3 linked regions of the Drosophila melanogaster genome follow. The protein of the gene in region 3 interacts with the protein of the main gene of each other region in a pairwise test. Each region holds a gene or a part of one and is shown on either strand. Other genes may lie near its edges.

Evidence for each region.
Region 1: the proteins of Su(var)3-7 (region 3) and Nipsnap interact in a two-hybrid assay, tested with the Drosophila melanogaster proteins (one large-scale study listed by BioGRID).
Region 2: the proteins of Su(var)3-7 (region 3) and CG12935 interact in a two-hybrid assay, tested with the Drosophila melanogaster proteins (one large-scale study listed by BioGRID).

Annotation. Positions count from the first base shown.
Region 1 is NC_004354.4:16,069,757-16,075,162, reverse strand, and holds Nipsnap (nipsnap), read left to right. Parts: upstream 1-1,594; 5' UTR 1,595-1,653; exon of another isoform or gene 1,654-1,731; 5' UTR 1,732-1,760; intron 1,761-1,880; exon of another isoform or gene 1,881-2,062; 5' UTR 2,063-2,080; coding exon 2,081-2,136; intron 2,137-3,262; coding exon 3,263-3,442; intron 3,443-3,631; coding exon 3,632-3,925; intron 3,926-3,985; coding exon 3,986-4,128; intron 4,129-4,294; coding exon 4,295-4,443; 3' UTR 4,444-4,798; downstream 4,799-5,406.
Region 2 is NT_033778.4:10,807,529-10,811,266, reverse strand, and holds CG12935 (uncharacterized protein), read right to left. Parts: upstream 1,871-3,738; 5' UTR 1,479-1,870; coding exon 1,076-1,478; intron 1,017-1,075; coding exon 724-1,016; 3' UTR 651-723; downstream 1-650. Other genes in the region: mms4 (methyl methanesulfonate sensitivity 4), read right to left, coding at 1-142; Nop10 ribonucleoprotein, read left to right, coding at 391-444, 510-650.
Region 3 is NT_033777.3:13,262,267-13,270,363, reverse strand, and holds Su(var)3-7 (suppressor of variegation 3-7), read right to left. Parts: upstream 6,001-8,097; 5' UTR 5,849-6,000; coding exon 5,064-5,848; intron 4,630-5,063; coding exon 4,045-4,629; intron 3,977-4,044; coding exon 3,632-3,976; intron 3,577-3,631; coding exon 2,599-3,576; intron 2,532-2,598; coding exon 1,472-2,531; 3' UTR 1,045-1,471; coding exon of another isoform or gene 535-1,044; 3' UTR 326-534; downstream 1-325. Other genes in the region: TBC1D5 (TBC1 domain family member 5), read left to right, coding at 1-286, 535-1,044; ravus, read left to right, coding at 6,366-6,397, 6,458-7,505. UniProt on the Drosophila melanogaster protein: Dose-limiting factor in position-effect variegation, the inactivation in some cells of a gene translocated next to heterochromatin. It could play a role in chromosome condensation.

The sequences.
Region 1 (5,406 bases), on a different chromosome or scaffold from region 3:
ATAAAATGTATGTACTATGTATAGTAACAAATATAACTTCCATATGAGTATTTTTCGTATTACCTTTAGTAGAATAAAGATTATCGTATAATTAAAACGCATTGTTTATAAAAAAAAAACAGTGATCTGCTTCGATCACCGACTTAAACAATTGGATATTGTTAACAAAAAGCAAAAAAAAAAAAAATGCAAAAAAAGAGTTTGATGTTTTCTCCGCACTGTTGCATACTTATTCAGTATTCTGAGAACAGATGTCCTTTTACAAGATTAGTACTCACGGCAAAATAAAAGCTCAAAAACGGTACCTACGGGTACGTACCAAGGTAAATTAGTTGAGTACTTTTTACCTTACCTATGTAAATAAATAAATTAATACATTTTACCCTTCCTAGGCACGGATTTTGATTTTCACCGCGTACTCGTCGTGATTTTAAATTATTGAAATCGTTTCTAGATTTGGATTACTTTTTTATCCCCGTTTACGTATACGTAATATATTTAGATTTCAGGAATCGTAAATTAACAGGTATGAATTGAAATAAAAATAACTTTTACTTACCACCGCTTTATGATTATGTACACTTTTTAGCTTCTTGCTCAAATAAATTATTTAATTATATTTCCTTCCTTTGGCCGATATATTGAGAAATGCTATTTTTAATTTCACTTTTAACTCAGGTATGTATTAATGTACGCCCGAGTGTATAAAAACACAAAATGTAACCGTTTTAATCACCGGCGAAGGTAGAAAACGAAATGGAATTTAAAGCAAACGGGCGGAGAAGTAAAGCAGAACAAAAATGTTCGTTTTCGCCATTTTCTTTTTTTGGTCCACTTTTCAGGTGTATTTCATTTTGAAATTTATAGCAATACATTTTATATATATATTCGCAAAAAGTATTAAGCATACAAAAGTGGTTGTCGGGTTTTAATAAATAAGCAAGCATTATAAATATGAACTCTATATAACCGCGCTCAAATTTAAAACACAAATCAAACCGATATGCTCACTTACGCACACACACATATGTATGTACTTCTCCGCGGAAACGTGTGTGCGTGAACTATATAACCGCGCTCAAATTTAAAAAGCAGATCAAGCCGAGCTGCTTACTTACACACACACACATAAGTATGTACATATGTACTTCTCGGCACAAACGCGTGTGCGTGTAAATCACATAATTAAATCGTTTAAAGAAAAGTAATGAGTTAAAATGCGTTTAGCAGTGTGCGATCACTCATTGATTATCATTTTAACAAACTTTCAGTACTTTTTAATACCGAAAAACATTAAAACTGATTTAATTCATTTTGGCACGCCGAACCGCCATTTTTTCTATTACCGATGCTCGCGAAGGAAGAAAACGAACTGAACGAGGATAGGAGCTTTCAGATCGGACTTGAGCATGAGAGCGGCCAAGAAGAAGAGTGGTCCTAGATTAACAAAATGACCCATTTTCGCTTTAAAAACTATGAATTTCAAAGTCAGCTTTTAAACAAATTTGAAATGTAACGTAATTAATTCAGAGTGACCGCAAAAAACTAAAACACCTTATCGCTATAGCATGCAATCGAAAAGACGACTACTTTGTTAACTCTTAGGTCCATATCGATAGCCAAGCGCATGGACGCGATATATCGATACAATCGGTCAGTGGTTAAGACAGCTCTACTGCATATTATTTTGTTTTCTTTTAACGTTAACATTTCATTTAAATATTATTTTAGTTTGTAACACTCCCGCAAATAACTATAAAGTGAGTGCTAGTGTGGAAAGAGAAACATTTATTATTTTTCCAAAATAATTGCTGAATTTAAAGCGGGTGGGGAAATCGGACAGAGTTGAAACGAGAGAACGCTCTACATTCTCTATTATCAATGCTACCATAGACCATGTACCGGCGCACTTGTTAAAATGACTCTGACTTCACCTTGACTAAAGTACACATAATGTACACACATTGCAGTGGTAGAGATGGCGAATCGGGATGATAACAGTTACTGATTTTATTTTCCAGTTTTCACCCCATATCGCTCTATATACATATATACTCGCCAGATCCTACATAAATCGAAAATGCTTAAGCTACGTAATCTATTGGCCGTCGGCAAAAGCAACAACAACGCTGTCCGGTAAGAAAAACAACATGAATATACTATAAAAAATGAACACAAAAATTGCCCACAGCTGAGTCCATTTACATATTTGATCAGTGTTGCCGAGTAGGCACAGGTACCTGTACCTGGATATCAGCTTGTGGCACTTATTAATTGCCCAGATTCGTGGAATCCAAATGAAATATAGGCAATGAATATATACTCGTATATTCAAATTTTTTAGATTGAAATAACAAAATTAATTCTTAATTCTTACTTATTTATATATAAATAACAGTATTTATAAGGATCTTAAAATAATGATATTTAATGGTATTCATATTCAATTTTCCTCCAGCCTAGGGGTTCATTTTTATTAACATTATGTTTTTCAACTACTAGTCATTTTAAGTCTTTTAGATTAAATATATTATTCACGAATTCCCTAAACTCATGTTATTAAATTTACGCAGAGTAGTTGTTGCTTACTCATTTTCCAAGCCGTCATACTTAGCATTAAGAGTACCTACCAGGTACCGTCCTTGTAGGTACACAAATCGCGTACCCTTTCCAGCACTAGCATTCACACTCCTACACGTTAATATGTATGTTTGGTTCCAATTTCGTACGTATACATCCATACATAAATGAAAATGCCGTTGCGACGTCAGCAAAGCAAAAACGTATACAAAAACAAAATAAACACGACGGTGCGAATTTTAGTTACCCTTCATGTATGAAATGCCGTACTATATATGCATTTTGTATTTTTAAGTTATGAATACATTTGCCCCTGGAAAATTCGAAAAAGTTAATAATACGCAGGGGTAGCTTTTCTTAATTTGTAAGTTCAGTGTAAAGGAAATAGCGTTCTCCTTATTTATCTATTTTTTGCCCACGGTCCAATTCAATTGGCCTACTTATAGCTAATATTGATAAGTGGCCTTCCAAAAATTGAATATTATATCTTCGATCTGAAAGATAGACTTATTAAAAACGTTATCTAGAGAGTTTGGACTTAGAACATATCATTTAAAAATGTATTTTTAGGTATTACCAATATATCTTACCTTATACAGAATACAATTAAGATATTGTAAGTTTATTTTGTAATTGTTTATTATGCCAACCTTTTTAAATTACCCATTATTGATACTTTTAGCTCTCTGTCCACCACTCCGAGCCGCAACGATTCAGAATCATGGTTCTCAAAACTGCTCGTTCGGAAAATAGAACCAACCAAGGAGTCGCACAGTCGAATGCTCAGCGATAAGGAAATCATATATGCCCTTCATACCCACAACGTCAGGCCCGATTCCATGGGCAGCTACTTAAATAACTAGTAAGTGACTGAAATTTAACGTCCTTAAAAGGTGCCTAAAAGAACTAAATAGGTGCAGAGTACTCAAAGCTAAAGAATAAACATTGAAAGCGTTGTCCATTTTCGATAGCATACTTTCAAACACATTTCCGGGTGGTTTTAAATCCCGAAAGTAGCATAGATTGTTAAAAGTACCCTTACCTTTTACAGCAAAACTACTGTCGCTTTGATCAACGAGAAGAAGGCAAACCTTTCCTGCGAATTGGTGGCATCATGGACGGTTCAAGTGGGCGACATGGATCAGTGCCTGCACCTGTGGAAGTACACAGGAGGCTTCGAGAAGATAGATCAGGCCAAAGAAGACCTTTGGAACGATCCCGAGTATCTTAGCTTGATGCAGGAGCGTTCCAAGTTCTTGCGCTCCCGTCATCTGCAATATCTCTTGGCATTCAGCTACTGGCCGCAAATTGCCAGTCGTACCGGCAAGAACATTTACGAAATGCGGTATGTTGCAGAGTATTTTCAATTCAAAAATGCATAGCTAAATTAACCCAATTGTCTCAGCTCATACCGACTGACACCTGGCACCATGATTGAGTGGGGAAACAACTGGGCCCGCGCCATCAACTATCGCAAGCACAACAACGAAGCATTCGCCGGATTCTTCTCGCAGATCGGAAGACTGTACAATGTTCATCACATTTGGTGTAAGTGATAGATAGTATAATTAAAAGATTTGAGTAATTTGAGTTTCATTGCCAAATACGTTTAGAATGGTTTAAAGGATATTTTAAGCCACTAGCAATTTTTGAAGCCATATTTTTATATAAGCTGTAAAGCAAACATTAATATTTGCTCTTCTTTTCAAAATAGGTTACAAATCTCTGCAAGACCGTAAGGAGACCCGGGAAGCAGCCTGGCGATCCCCCGGATGGGATGAGTGTGTGGCCTACACGGTGCCATTAATCCGCGAGATGCACTGCCGTGTCCTGGCGCCCACTGAGTTCTCGCCCTCACAATAATTAGCACTGGGTGTTGCACTTTCTAGCGTTCTGAGAAATTGAAGTTCATCGACGATTGGACAAATTAGCTGTGAAAACACCGAGAACGCATCTTCGCCTATTTTCCTGTTGAATAGTTATTGTAAATAATGCCAGCTACATATGCAATCATTTAATTTTTTTTTTAAGTATAATTAAGGTCAAAGTGGAAATTTCTATCCAACATTTTTACGAACCTCTATGTGTGTATCGCCTACGACCTTTGAATTTAACAAAACCAATTTTGTTTTTATAAAATAAAGCAATTATGAAACTGTTATAAGTTAGTTTTTAAAACAGATCCCAAAATATAGTAAATGGTATTGGATATTAATTGAAACATCTCTAATAAAATGCAGAACCACCCAATTCCGTAATTACAAACAGCAAAATAATAGGTGATGAAAAAGTAGTATACCGCATAAAGTTTTAATCAGATCGTTGTTTTCTTGAAAAAACTTGTTATCCTGTGAATTAGTGGTATAACATAATAATAACGTATGATACATTTGATTTGCCTGCTTAGTTGCTCAAACTTAATTAATGCACATATTCTATGAACTTTTAAAAGTCACAGAAAATTAAACGAAATATTTTGCTATCCCCGCCAGTTTCTTAACTCTTTAAGAGGCATCATATAACATGTGTGCGATATTTCAACATCATCACTAAATTAACTAGAAAAAAAGTTCGAGAAACTTTTTTTTTTAAACCATTGGGTTTTTGGCTCTTAGGAATCTGGAATTGTTATTATGTCATCTTTTTGCCTAATTAATTCAATTCTAAACAAATTTTTAAGAATATTTGTCCAAACAAATTTAAAGTCTTATACACCGTAGGCACTATAACAAAAATATGTAATGAAATCACCTTCTGATTCTCAACTTTAAAACTAAAACCGTTGTTTAGAACCAGCCAATCTCGTTTATACCTAATATTATTGGT
Region 2 (3,738 bases), on a different chromosome or scaffold from region 3:
GCAGTGCCTCCTGGCCCACGGGAATGCCCAGAAATCCGGCATCTATGACCATCCGCACATATTTCATACATTCTCCGGGCTTAATACGCTTCTGTTGTTCGCGTAAAGCCTGCTTGTGCAGCTTGTCCACTTTATTTGACATTGTGTACAAAAGTCCGCCAAATATTCTATACAAATATGCTTAGAGATGGAAGTGAATCGATAACAAGCGATCTAGCTACGAAAATCTAGCTAACATTTATTCCACGGTTCGAGGCTTGACTATTCTCTTAAGTTGGATTATTTAGTGCTTATTTTTTTTTAAAGCCTGGTAGCACCTTGCAACGCACGCCACACGTGTTTTATTTTCTGCTTCTTTGACTACAGAAAAACAATCCAAAAACTGCAAAAATGTATCTGATGTACACAATTAACGAAAACGGCGATCGCGTTTACACCCTGAAGGTATATTATTATCAAAACCCTATATATATATTACCCAACTAAGTCACCACTTGTTGCTCTTCTAGAAACGCACCGAGGATGGTCGTCCCACACTATCTGCTCATCCAGCACGTTTTTCACCGGAGGATAAGTACTCCCGCCAGAGGCTGACCATCAAGAAGCGCTTTGGACTGCTGCTCACCCAGAAGCCGGAGCCCATTTACTAAGCCGCATTTTAGTTTTAATTAGTGTACATCTTTATTTACAAATAATAAGCTACAAAACAACAAAACTTGCCCTTTAAATGCGACGCTTGAGGCCCGCCGTGTAATCGAATAACTCGCCATTCCGAAACTCGCCACGCATATCCAGGACGTAATACAGTGTCTTGCCCTTCACCTTAATGGGTAGCTGCACCCTGGCCATGTTCCGTGATTCCTCGGCGGAGACGCACTTTAATGGCACGGTCATAATGCGATTCCGGTTGAAGGGACCGTAGGTCACAAAGGAAACGCTCTGACCACCCTTTCTCAAGATAAGAAAACGCACCGATCGCAGGGTAAACATCCAGACAGCAAACAGTATGCCATATCCTAAAATGTTGGTTGAGTTTTATTTTCGGCTTGCCGAGAACGTAGTAAACCACTCTTACCTATCAGAAAGCTACAGGCTGTAATGCCATTTCTGTACTTATTATCGCCCAGATTTATGCGCTGGAACCACTTCAGCTCCTCTCCGGGTTTTTCCACCACTGGAGCATCCTTAAGCGTCGTGAAGGCGAAGTGCGAGAGATATGTCCAGAAAACAAACTGACACACCCCGAAAAAGTTAAGCATCTGGTAGAATCGGGGGTTTTCATACTTGAAAAGTATTATGTCCTTGGGGACACTGGTGTTCACATCGAAGGGGGCGGCTTGGGAGGAGAATCTCTTTATCGTGGAAGTAACCGGCGTTTTTGTTACAATGGCCGGAGCTGCCAGTCTGAAACTCTGGAGGCTAAGGCGCTTGATGGAGTTGACGCCCTGCCGCAGGGCAAAATTCAGCAGATTGCTCATCTTAATTGAATAATTCCCGCATTTGTTATTATAAAACAAATTAACCTATAATCTACAGATGTTTTTGTTTTGTTCCGTTTGCTATTGGTTCACTAGCTCCGGAACTGGAACTAGTTCAACAAAGCAGCCATCAGGGCTGGCACATGCTGACTCCGTTCACTAGTTCACCCATTGGAACAATTAACGAAAATAACACGATTTTTGCAATGTTCACCGTTGTATTTCATGAGAACGTCACATTACTTAAACGGGCCGAAAACATTTGTCAATATGATTCAGTTTTAAGCAAAAGAAGGGACAGGGGAGATCACGTCTTAGTTCCAACTGGCACTTAATAGTTCTGCTCCCATAAATAAAACGTTTAGCTATACAGCCCTAGTAACAACATATGATTTTGTTTGGTTCCAAACTAGGGATGTACACGTGCATGAACTGCATAACGTTTTTTATTTTTGTATATAAATACTATAGAAATGCTGCTTCTCCTCAGCTATTAAATATACATCCTTTTATAATATTACTATCGTAATGAGAAGGTAACCAGTTTAAGTTATATCTGGTCATCATGTTAATAATAATAATAATAATAATAATACAAATTGCGTAAAAATGCAAAGTTGAATATAAGATAAAATAAGTTTTGCCAAAATCCAACCTAAATAAATACAAAAATAATAAGTATTGTTAGAAACGTCCATAAAAAATGTCTTCTCGATGCGTATCAGAAATCGGCATCCGGAATCACGCGCCAATCTCTATTCCAAGTGCCGCTAGCTTGCAATCTGGGCGCTGCTCTTCGGAACCAGTTGTGCATAGACTGGTTCTTTTCGGCACCTTCTGTTGTTGTGCGATTTTAGTCTGTGTTTCAGTCTTCGTCGTTTAAGGGCATCGGAAGTGGAGTTGCCTGCGAATTGTAAACAAATCACGGAGAAGCTGTTAAATTCATTCAAATCATTGACATTTGATAGTTGCCGTTAGACCACAAGTCATATTTCAATAGTTTTCGGTAATATATAAGTTAATAAACGAGTTTGTCGTGTCGTAGAAAGGTAAGTGTAGTTTTTTTTATCCATTTTATGTTATATTTATAATTTTCTTTATAAAAATACCCTGTAATATAATGGTCCAATCGAATGGTACATTTGGGATTTGCATTTTTTTTACTGGGTTTTGAAGTTTTTTTTTATTTGGACTGGGTACGGGTACCATACGCCAGATATGGTACGAGTCTCTTTAAAGACATTTGTGTTTTCAGGGTTGTCAAGTGACCGCGATTTGCAAATCAGGCGAAATCTGATATATATCTGGATTTGTTACTATGCTATATTTTAGACTAGACTACCGACGTGTAGGCAAGACTATATACCGCAATGCCATTGCAATAGGACAAAAAATGACCTGCCGGTGGCAACCCTGCGCGACATCATGGTCTCAATTATACATTTAAAGACATTTGATTTGCGTCTAATCGGACACATCGAGGTTTTATATTATATTCATGATAAACATAATGCATACCTGGCAACCCTAAAAACATAAAATTGTACAATAGGTGAATAAAAACGCCGCCCGTTTTGCTTTTGCTTCTGCTTGCAACCTGCTCGTTTTAGGTTTTTCGGGGTTTAGTCTTTATCGAACGTCTGATACCAGAAACATGCAGAGGGCGCCGAGGGGATTTCAAAAATGTCCTTGCTTTCGTAAAGCATGCAAAAACTTGGATGTTTTTCGATCTAACCTCACTCTGCATCAAAATCGATACGTAACCTAAAAAGAATGTAAATGCGTTGCAAAATCGCACAAATACACGTTCTGATATACATACACGCTCACACCGATGTGCCGTTGCTACAACGAACTTAACTGGTGTGTGTGCGCGTGTTAGAGCGGGACAGCTATAATAGACATATAGCCCAAAATTGGCTTAAATACAAGACCGAACTTTAAAGACGATAAATTGGCCATATATACTTTAAGTTGCAAAAATACGACACCTAAACATGTTTGTTATCTACATTTGTGTGTATAAGCAACGGTTTTAATGGACCTAAGCATCTTGAAAAAAGTATTGCCATCAGAGCAAGTCGAAATTTAATGATCCAATGTCACTAGCTTCTAGGATCAATTTCTTTAATAGAGCTGATATCGAAGGTTTTAGCATTTCATCTACAAAAACAACGACTTTACGCCTCTATTTTTGTTTGCCCGGTGTTGTAGTTGTTGCTTTCGGCTTGCTGCTGTATCTTTGTCGTGCTGTGTTTGG
Region 3 (8,097 bases):
TCTGGTGCTGAGACATGCCCTATTCATGCTCAATCCCAAGCAGTTTGAGTATCCGCCAAACGCCTTCACGTGTGTGTCCTTTGCCAACAGTTCCGCGGACAAGGATGTGCCCCCTCCTGCGGGACAACGCCCGCGCACCAATTCAGAAAACTCTTCGATGGCCACTAGTGGTAGCCAGATCGATCGGCAGATCACCTTCATGCAGGAGCGCAATGCGGCGGATTCTTCTGCTCTGGCCAAATTGCAAGATACCCATCGAGTTGCAATGGATGGATACTTGGAGAATGTGAGTGTGCTTTAATATATGAATGTCGTATACGTGTTTCTGTTACCATATTTAACCGTTTATTAAATTATATTTAATTATAACAAAACAAAACTACTTAAATCTAAGCCAATCTTTTGTACATATTTTCTAAGTAGGGTTTTAGTGAGTCAATTCTTAAATACTTTAAAATTTATAACGTAACATTTACTTTCATGATTTTATTACAAAGACCTGTTCCTAAGAAATATTTGTATTGGCCCTTGCAGAGTCCAGAGCTACTCCGATTGGAGCTGAAGAATGCCCAAACTGTAATCAAGATAGCGCGAAGCAAGTTGCAGAGCTACCTGAGCACTGTGCGCCATCATGTGGGAAAGCAGGCGAATGGTAGCGAAGAACTCGGTCGGACACTGGACGGGATTGAAGAGCTATGCAGCTTTCTGGACGTTAAATTCATGTTCCCGCTGCACCAGCGATCGGCGCCCATCGACCAGGCTCTGGAGGCCAACGAGCAGAAGCAGCTAAACACTGTCAGCAAACCGCCAAAGCCAACGGCTTCCTCCACTCCCGCTAACGCACCGGCTGCTCTCTCTGCGACTGGTGGCTATCAGATGCCTGAGAACGCCTTTATGCACAGCTCGATGCGACGGCTCCTCGGGGAACTGCGTGAAATCGAGCTGTCCACGATAACGAGCGATGAGAAACCTGGAAACGCGGTGGTGCAAAACGGATTGCCAGCTGCGGAGCCTCAGCAACGGCATCGAAACGAATCGAGTTGATCGTAAGGTCCACTCCTAACGACTGAAACTGAATTTAGACTTAAACAGAGCAGCCACAAAGTGGATAAACCGGAATTAGTAAGGATTATAATTAAAAGACATAAAGTTTACTATATTTTGGACTTGAATAAGTCCATAGTTTGTAATTTTCTCCATGAAAAATAAAAATTTTTCGGGTATTGGAATGGTTTCGAAACAAATCGTCTTCAAAACATGCAAGTTTCGGAAGCAACAGGTTCGTAGTTCGTTGAAGGAGTAGTGTTCTATGTGATATCTTGGAAGAAGCTCCATCGTTTGTGTATTCTAAATTTTGAACAATTGCTTGCAAGTATTCATCATTAACGTAAAGTATATCTGATTGAGTCGAATTTAAATAATGACAGTGATAAAGTCTTAAGTTACGTTTGATTCATATTTCCTAGGAGCTCTATGGCCTGCGGTTATGGTTCACCATTGTCCGAAATGTTGTGATTTGACAACCGTTGCTGCTGGGACCACCACGCATTATTGGAGTCGAGGACGTTATGCTTGCCTGTGCCTGCTGCGGCTGTTGCATCTGAGGCGTATTAGTAACGGTGATCTTGGAACTGTTGTTATTGTTAACCCGTATCTGCCTGATCATGGCCAACGTGTTACCATTGCTAAGGTCCGCCTGTGGGGTGGATGGTGCTTCCGAAGTGCCACCTTGACTGAGTCGTCCGTTCACGTTGGTCCGACTCTGTGTTGTTAGTTTGTCAAGAGGTACACAACGCACGGAATCCGTCTCGAGGCGGTTGGTCACTTGCGTTTGGTTGGAAGTTAAGATACGGCGTATATTCTCTGGCAGGTCTTTGGCGCTCCCATTGATGGTCACTTGGGCAGAGGAAGCCCCGGTAACTGGCTCTTTCGGTACGGTTTCCTTGTCGTTATTATTGTTCTGCCCATTATTGTATTCATGCGGTGTTGTGACAACCGAGGAATGCAAATCTGCATCGACAGAAGCAAGGGGAGCTGAAATAGGAGCAGGAGGAGTTTTAACTGGGGTCACCGTAGTTGAAGAAGGCCATTTCGAGGAAGCAGAAACTGTAGCTGGGGTTGGAGTTGTCGCATTTCTCTGCATGGCTCGAAGCTCCAAGCTACAAACGAGCTGCATGATTTTCGACTTGCCCTCTGCGGCTAAATCCGGCGGCAGGGACTTCATGGTCGGCGAAATGCTGTCAAAGAAGAGATCCATTACATGTCGTGGCTCCGGTGGCTTAATCGGTGACACTGTCACCGATGGCGGCGCCTGGGCCATAGACTCGTTATGTGCGACCGACTCCCGTTCCAAAGTTCGCAAGCGTGTAACAATATCAAACGACGAGCATATCATGTCCCTGGCCATGTCCATTTGGGAGCGTTCTTCCTGTCGCTTGCCCATTGAGTCGCGAAGGGCGCGTATTATGCGACGAACCTCCATTGAGCGTCGGGACCGCTTCGCCAGCGGTTCCGCTGTGCTGCCATCGGATCTAAGTAGCCATAATGAGTGTGGTTATTAGAAACGCTTAATGAAGGGATTTCGAATTCTAAACTCACCGAACGCTCATATCGTTTTCGCTCTCCTTGTCCATTCCAGACTCCTGCCTTTCCGCATCAACGGTGGAAGTGGGACTAACTGATGGTGCATTGGCGGCAGCGGCGGCATTGGCCCTTTGCCGCTCCTTATTTTCGACGTGCTTACGCGAAGCGTCGTGTTGCCGCAGGTAAAATACCTTGATCGGCAGCCGGCTATCACAAACACGGCAGTGACAGTGATTCTCGTCATTGGCATCAGGATCCAGCCAGTCGTACTTCGCTTGCAGCTCTGCCATAGCCGCTTTCTGTCTAGCCTCGGCGCTGGCCAAAGCCGAAGCTGTGGCCACAACAGTGGATATTTCACCTGAGTTTTTGTTCGATGTTTTCAAAGGGTTGCCACCATTGCGCTTTCGATCAATGCGGAGGCGTATGTGTCGGGAAGTCCTCTGGTGCTTGGAGGCCCACTTGGATGAGGGCAGGTAGAGAGACACTTCGCACAGCTTGCACCAAGCATAGTTTCCACGCTGCTCGTTCTTTTTGTAGGAGAGCCACGGGAAGCGGCCCTTCCACACCATAACCTTGCCCTTCATGGTTGCCGGAATGGGCTTGACAAAAAGCTTATTGTCCGCTCGAGCAGTCTTTCTTGCCTGCACGGTGCCCAAGTCGAAGTTGCTTTGGGAATCTTCTTCTGCGTCCTCCTCTTCTTCTCCATATTCCTCGTCCTGTTCCTGTGATTCTTCATCATCCTGCGCATTATGTTTAGTTTGCGTGTTTGTGCCCTGGTGCAGTTTCGCTTGCCGCATTTTGAACTGCTTTACCAGCTTTACATGCCGGGCACTCAACTCATGCCGCGCCTTTGCCGCTTCGTTGTGAAAGCGCACGCGGCAGAATTTGCAAATCTGAGTCTTTCGGTCCTTGGAGTAGCAAAGCCACGGGTAAAAACGTACCCCAGCGCGAACCGTGGCCTTTCTTGGCTCGCTAGAGGACTTATGAGCAAAACTATACGAAATTATTATTATTAAAGTAAAAATTAAAAATATTTTAAGCAACATACCCTTTTCCGAGTTTTTGGATCTCGGACCAATTGTCATCGTCATTATCTTCGCTGTCATCGGTCTGCGATGACTGGGCTTGATCACTTGCCGCCGCTTCCTCTTCATCCATGTTATCGCCGCCTCTGCCGTCAGCCGAACCAACTTCGATGCCTGCCTTGGCGCTGGCCAAAGCCAAGGTATGCTTCTCGGATTTTTCGTGATTCTTGCGCTTGATCTCTGAGTTTCCATACATGAATCGCTTGCGACAGACGCTGCAGTACCCAATGCTGGGGTCTTCGGGATCAGCAATCAACCAAGGATGCATGTCGGCGAACACGGCCCAAATGCCGCGAATATCTGAAGAGCTGAGGTAAAAAAGTGAAAGCAGTTAAAGAACAGGTGCTATTTACGTTCTGTAGGAGTGTCAACTCACCCCTTTTCAGCGGGTGTCGATAGCATGTGACAATGAGCTCTGGTTTTACAGTGCCGTAGGAAGCTGGTAATCGCCATTGTGCAGTTGCAGAGCGTACATCGGCATTGCTGTGGATTGGTGTCCGGAATCAGTGCACACCACTTGCCAGGGTCGTCGCCTGAGTCCACATCGCCGTTCATCATAACCACAGGGGTGTCCTGAGCATCCTCCGGCCCAACTTCTGGTTCAGATTCCTTCTCTCGCTCGGCCTCATCCCCGCCGCTATTGGTCACGCTGTTGCTCTTGCTCCTCTTTCGCTTCCGACTCCGCTTATCGGAATCTAGGTTGCGCAGTGCCTCCATGTGACCTTTGGTGGTTTCGTGGCGCTTGCGCAAATAGACAAACTCCACGTTCATTCGCACGCTGCAGATGCGACATGTCCCGATGGTCCCTGTGGGCATGGAACGTTCAAGCCAAGGATGCCAACGGAGCCAACGCAGCCAGTTGAAGTTGTTAAATGCCTCGGTCTCGGAGATTCGTTTTTGCTTCATGGCGGCCACATAGCTCTTGGTGCCGAATTCGTGCTTGATTTCGTTGTCGCTGATTCTACGGATAATTGGGAGTTAATAAGTGTTCGCAAACTTTCGGTGATCTCAATATGATTTCGGTATTTCGTTTTTTAAAGGTGCAAATCTTACTAACATTACGAGTAGAGCTACCCTCATTGAAAGCAGGGAGTGTAATATATGTAAAATCTATTCTGAACCGCGACCAAGCCTATCATACACCAGTTTCTTTGTGTCAAACAATTGCTACACGTTGGAAAATTAATGCGGACTCGGAGCAGTGCTCCCTTCATTAAGTTGGCAGTTTTTTTCACACTACAGTGGGCTTTCTGGATTTCGGTACAAACCCTTTACAAAGTGAAAGGCATTTGAAGAGTTGAGCTTTTACTTTATACGGCGGATTAATTAACTTGATTTCTCCGAATTTTAGATTTCTGTACTCTTTTTTGTAATCTTTAAAACTGTGACACTTACGCTCCTCGAGTTTCCTCCTCACTTTTCTTGAATGCCAGATAGTTGCACTCGCGTTCCTGGTGGGAGAGCGACACGTTGTGCTGTTGGATGTGTCTAGAGCGGTTGTTCACGTTAATGGATATGTTGCAGTAAAGGCAGAACGCTAAGGTGCCATCGGAGTCCTCGTGTAGGATCCAGGGCCAACGCTTCATCCAGAGGAGCCAGCGCTGTGCGCGGGGCATCTTGCGGCGCATGCCTCCGTCAACGCCACCGCCATTGCTGCTTTCGTCATCCTCGTCGTCGTCATCCTGGCTGTCTCCCGGATCATGGATTTCAATCCTCTCCAGCAGGCCCATGGGATCGTGGTACGAATGGGAGCTCTCCGCATCGCTGGAGGGTTCAGTTTTAGTGGACATGGCATCGGGTTCACGTTCCTGGTCTTCCAGGAGGGGATCCTCGCTGGCCTGTTTGTCGTCTGGGTTATTTAGAGCGGACTGTAGCTCGGCCACCAATGGAGCATGTTCGTCATCCATGATGTCCTCAATACACGGGTCATCCCGCATCGGGTGCTTGTCCTCCTCCACCACCATGGCCACATCCCCATCGTCATCATCCACCACGATGACCATGGAGGTCTCCACTTCCTCGATGTGATCCGGATCCACCAGAGCACCACCCTCTACGTCCATAATTTTCAGCTCGTGCGTTGCCGACGCTAAAGTTTCTGAATTTGCAGACGCCATTTTGAGGTCTGGGTTGCATTGAGCATCTAGGTTTTTCGCCTGCATGCTCGAATCCCGATCCATCACGAGATACTGGTTATCCAGGCACTTTGCTCTAATATTTGTTAGCTTTTGGGAGATCACAGTATACGGTTATAAACTAAAAAAATAAAAATAATCGCAAGCGAAAACTCAGAATCGCTGTCAAGGCGATGGCCAATGTGACCGTACTGTTGCATTAAACCGGCGGGCTAAGGACCATATACTAAGGAAGTTCAAAAAATACATAAAATGCAACTGAGGGACTGGACTGGTCACTTTATTGAGAACGGTCTTAAAACGTACTGTTCATAGTATAACTGCAATTATTTATTTAATAACTACATGAACATTATGCTTAGAAAGCATATAAAGAAATTACATGCATTAGCATATGATTCATATATCGTTGAATATTTAAAATAAAGTGTGTAGAAACAAACAACCGGTGTGGGTGACAACTCTTACAGCATGTGCAAAACGGGTTATGCGGTATTTCTATGCATGTGCGCACGGTCATACCTCACTGGATTTTGTTTATATTTTGGAAAAGACTACCCAAATGTCAAACCTCCAGTTAACTCAGGAAAAACTGTGAGTATACCAAAGTAAGAGACCAGGGTCTTATGTTCACTGACTATATTCGCCGCCCAGAGATGCCCTACGCTCCGAATACAGGCCACGCCGGCCGTGCGCCCTGCTGAAATATCCTCGACCCAAGACAAAGCCGGAGTACCAGGCGATATATCCGTGGTTGCTCCCGGATGAGACGGATCCGCACTTCGTGTTCTGCGCGGTGTGCGAGTGCAGGCTCAGCTGCAAGAGATCTGATCTGGGAAAGCACGAGGGTAGCATTAAGCACTCGGAAAATGCACAAAGAAAATCATTGCCAGCCAAGGCAAACAATTCGAGCTTCAATGGATCCAGCTCCGGTGCGATGAAGTGGGAGGATACCGAGGACGAGGAGGGTCTACTACAATACGGAACAGATCCCCAAGACGACGAGACAGAAGATGAGGAGGAGGGAGAACTTGACGAAACAGAGGGCGACTGCGAGGACGATGAGAAGCGGACTCAAGAACTGGAAGCACAAAATGATCTCGAAACGGAGCCCGTCATTAAGCAGCAGCGCCGCACTTCGGAGACCGACTCACAGAATTCTGGCATGCTGGATTATCTGCCACTACACGTGACCATCAACGAGGGGCCTCAAAGTCTTCCGACCACTGTCTCCGCCTATCCCACATCCTCAGCAACAGCAACAGTAGCTCCGCCATGCAGGATCACCATTAAAAAAGTTCCAGTGCACAGTACTCCACTCAGTGGGATGTGCCAAGCTCAGGAGATCAATTCCAAGGCCACCATAACGCCTATACACACGACGCCCTCCTATGCTGCCCGCCCGCTGCAATCTTATCAACTGCAACCATTGTCACCTATAACGCCACCGCGCGACTCATTGGAGCTGTTCTTCGACAGCATATGTGCCACCGTCAAGAACTTGCCGCCCAAACTGGCCACCGAGGGTAAGATCCGGGTAATGCAGCTCATTGGGGAGCTCGAGTTGCGTGCTCTTTGCGAACAGGAGGCGCTCTCTGAGGTCGCCGGACTTCCGGATCTCGCGGGAAACTCCAGGTCTGGAGCAGCTGAAGCCTCAGGCAGTGGTCAGCAGAATGCGACAGTGGCTTCTACCACCAAATAAATTCACCTGGACTTTGGAATCGGTTCCAAACCGTGCTCAATACGGCAATTAGAATATATGCTAGTGCTTTCATTTTTTAATTTTGTTAACTGATTTTCATTAATAAAGTTATTTATTAGTTGTTGTAGTGTGGCGTGCATTTATTCTTTAAATCTATCTGATGGTGTTTTTGTTCTATGAAATGGCTTCATTACATTTCATCCGTTTAGAAATTTAAGTGCCCAATAAATGGGCTCATTAAGGTATTAGGTTCGCTTTAATATTTCACTAACTGCATTTCAAAAAGTGTTTTCCTGACCTTGGTTTGCCAGCAAAGTATAAATTGTGAATTTTCTCAGAGAATGATATCACGGAAGAGCTGTAATCAATGGAAACCACTTCTTGTGTGTGGGTAACAATTGTGATTTACTTATTGTGAATGATACAAAGCGAATTCTCTGAAGGGTAAATATTACGCATGTACAATACCATGTGATAAAAAGTTTATCGCATGATAGTTTAATGTATGTTCTGTAGGTAAAGATAGTAAAAATCACTCCATCAGGCGAATTTATCAACTGTAACGAACAAACAACATGTAATATCAGATTGA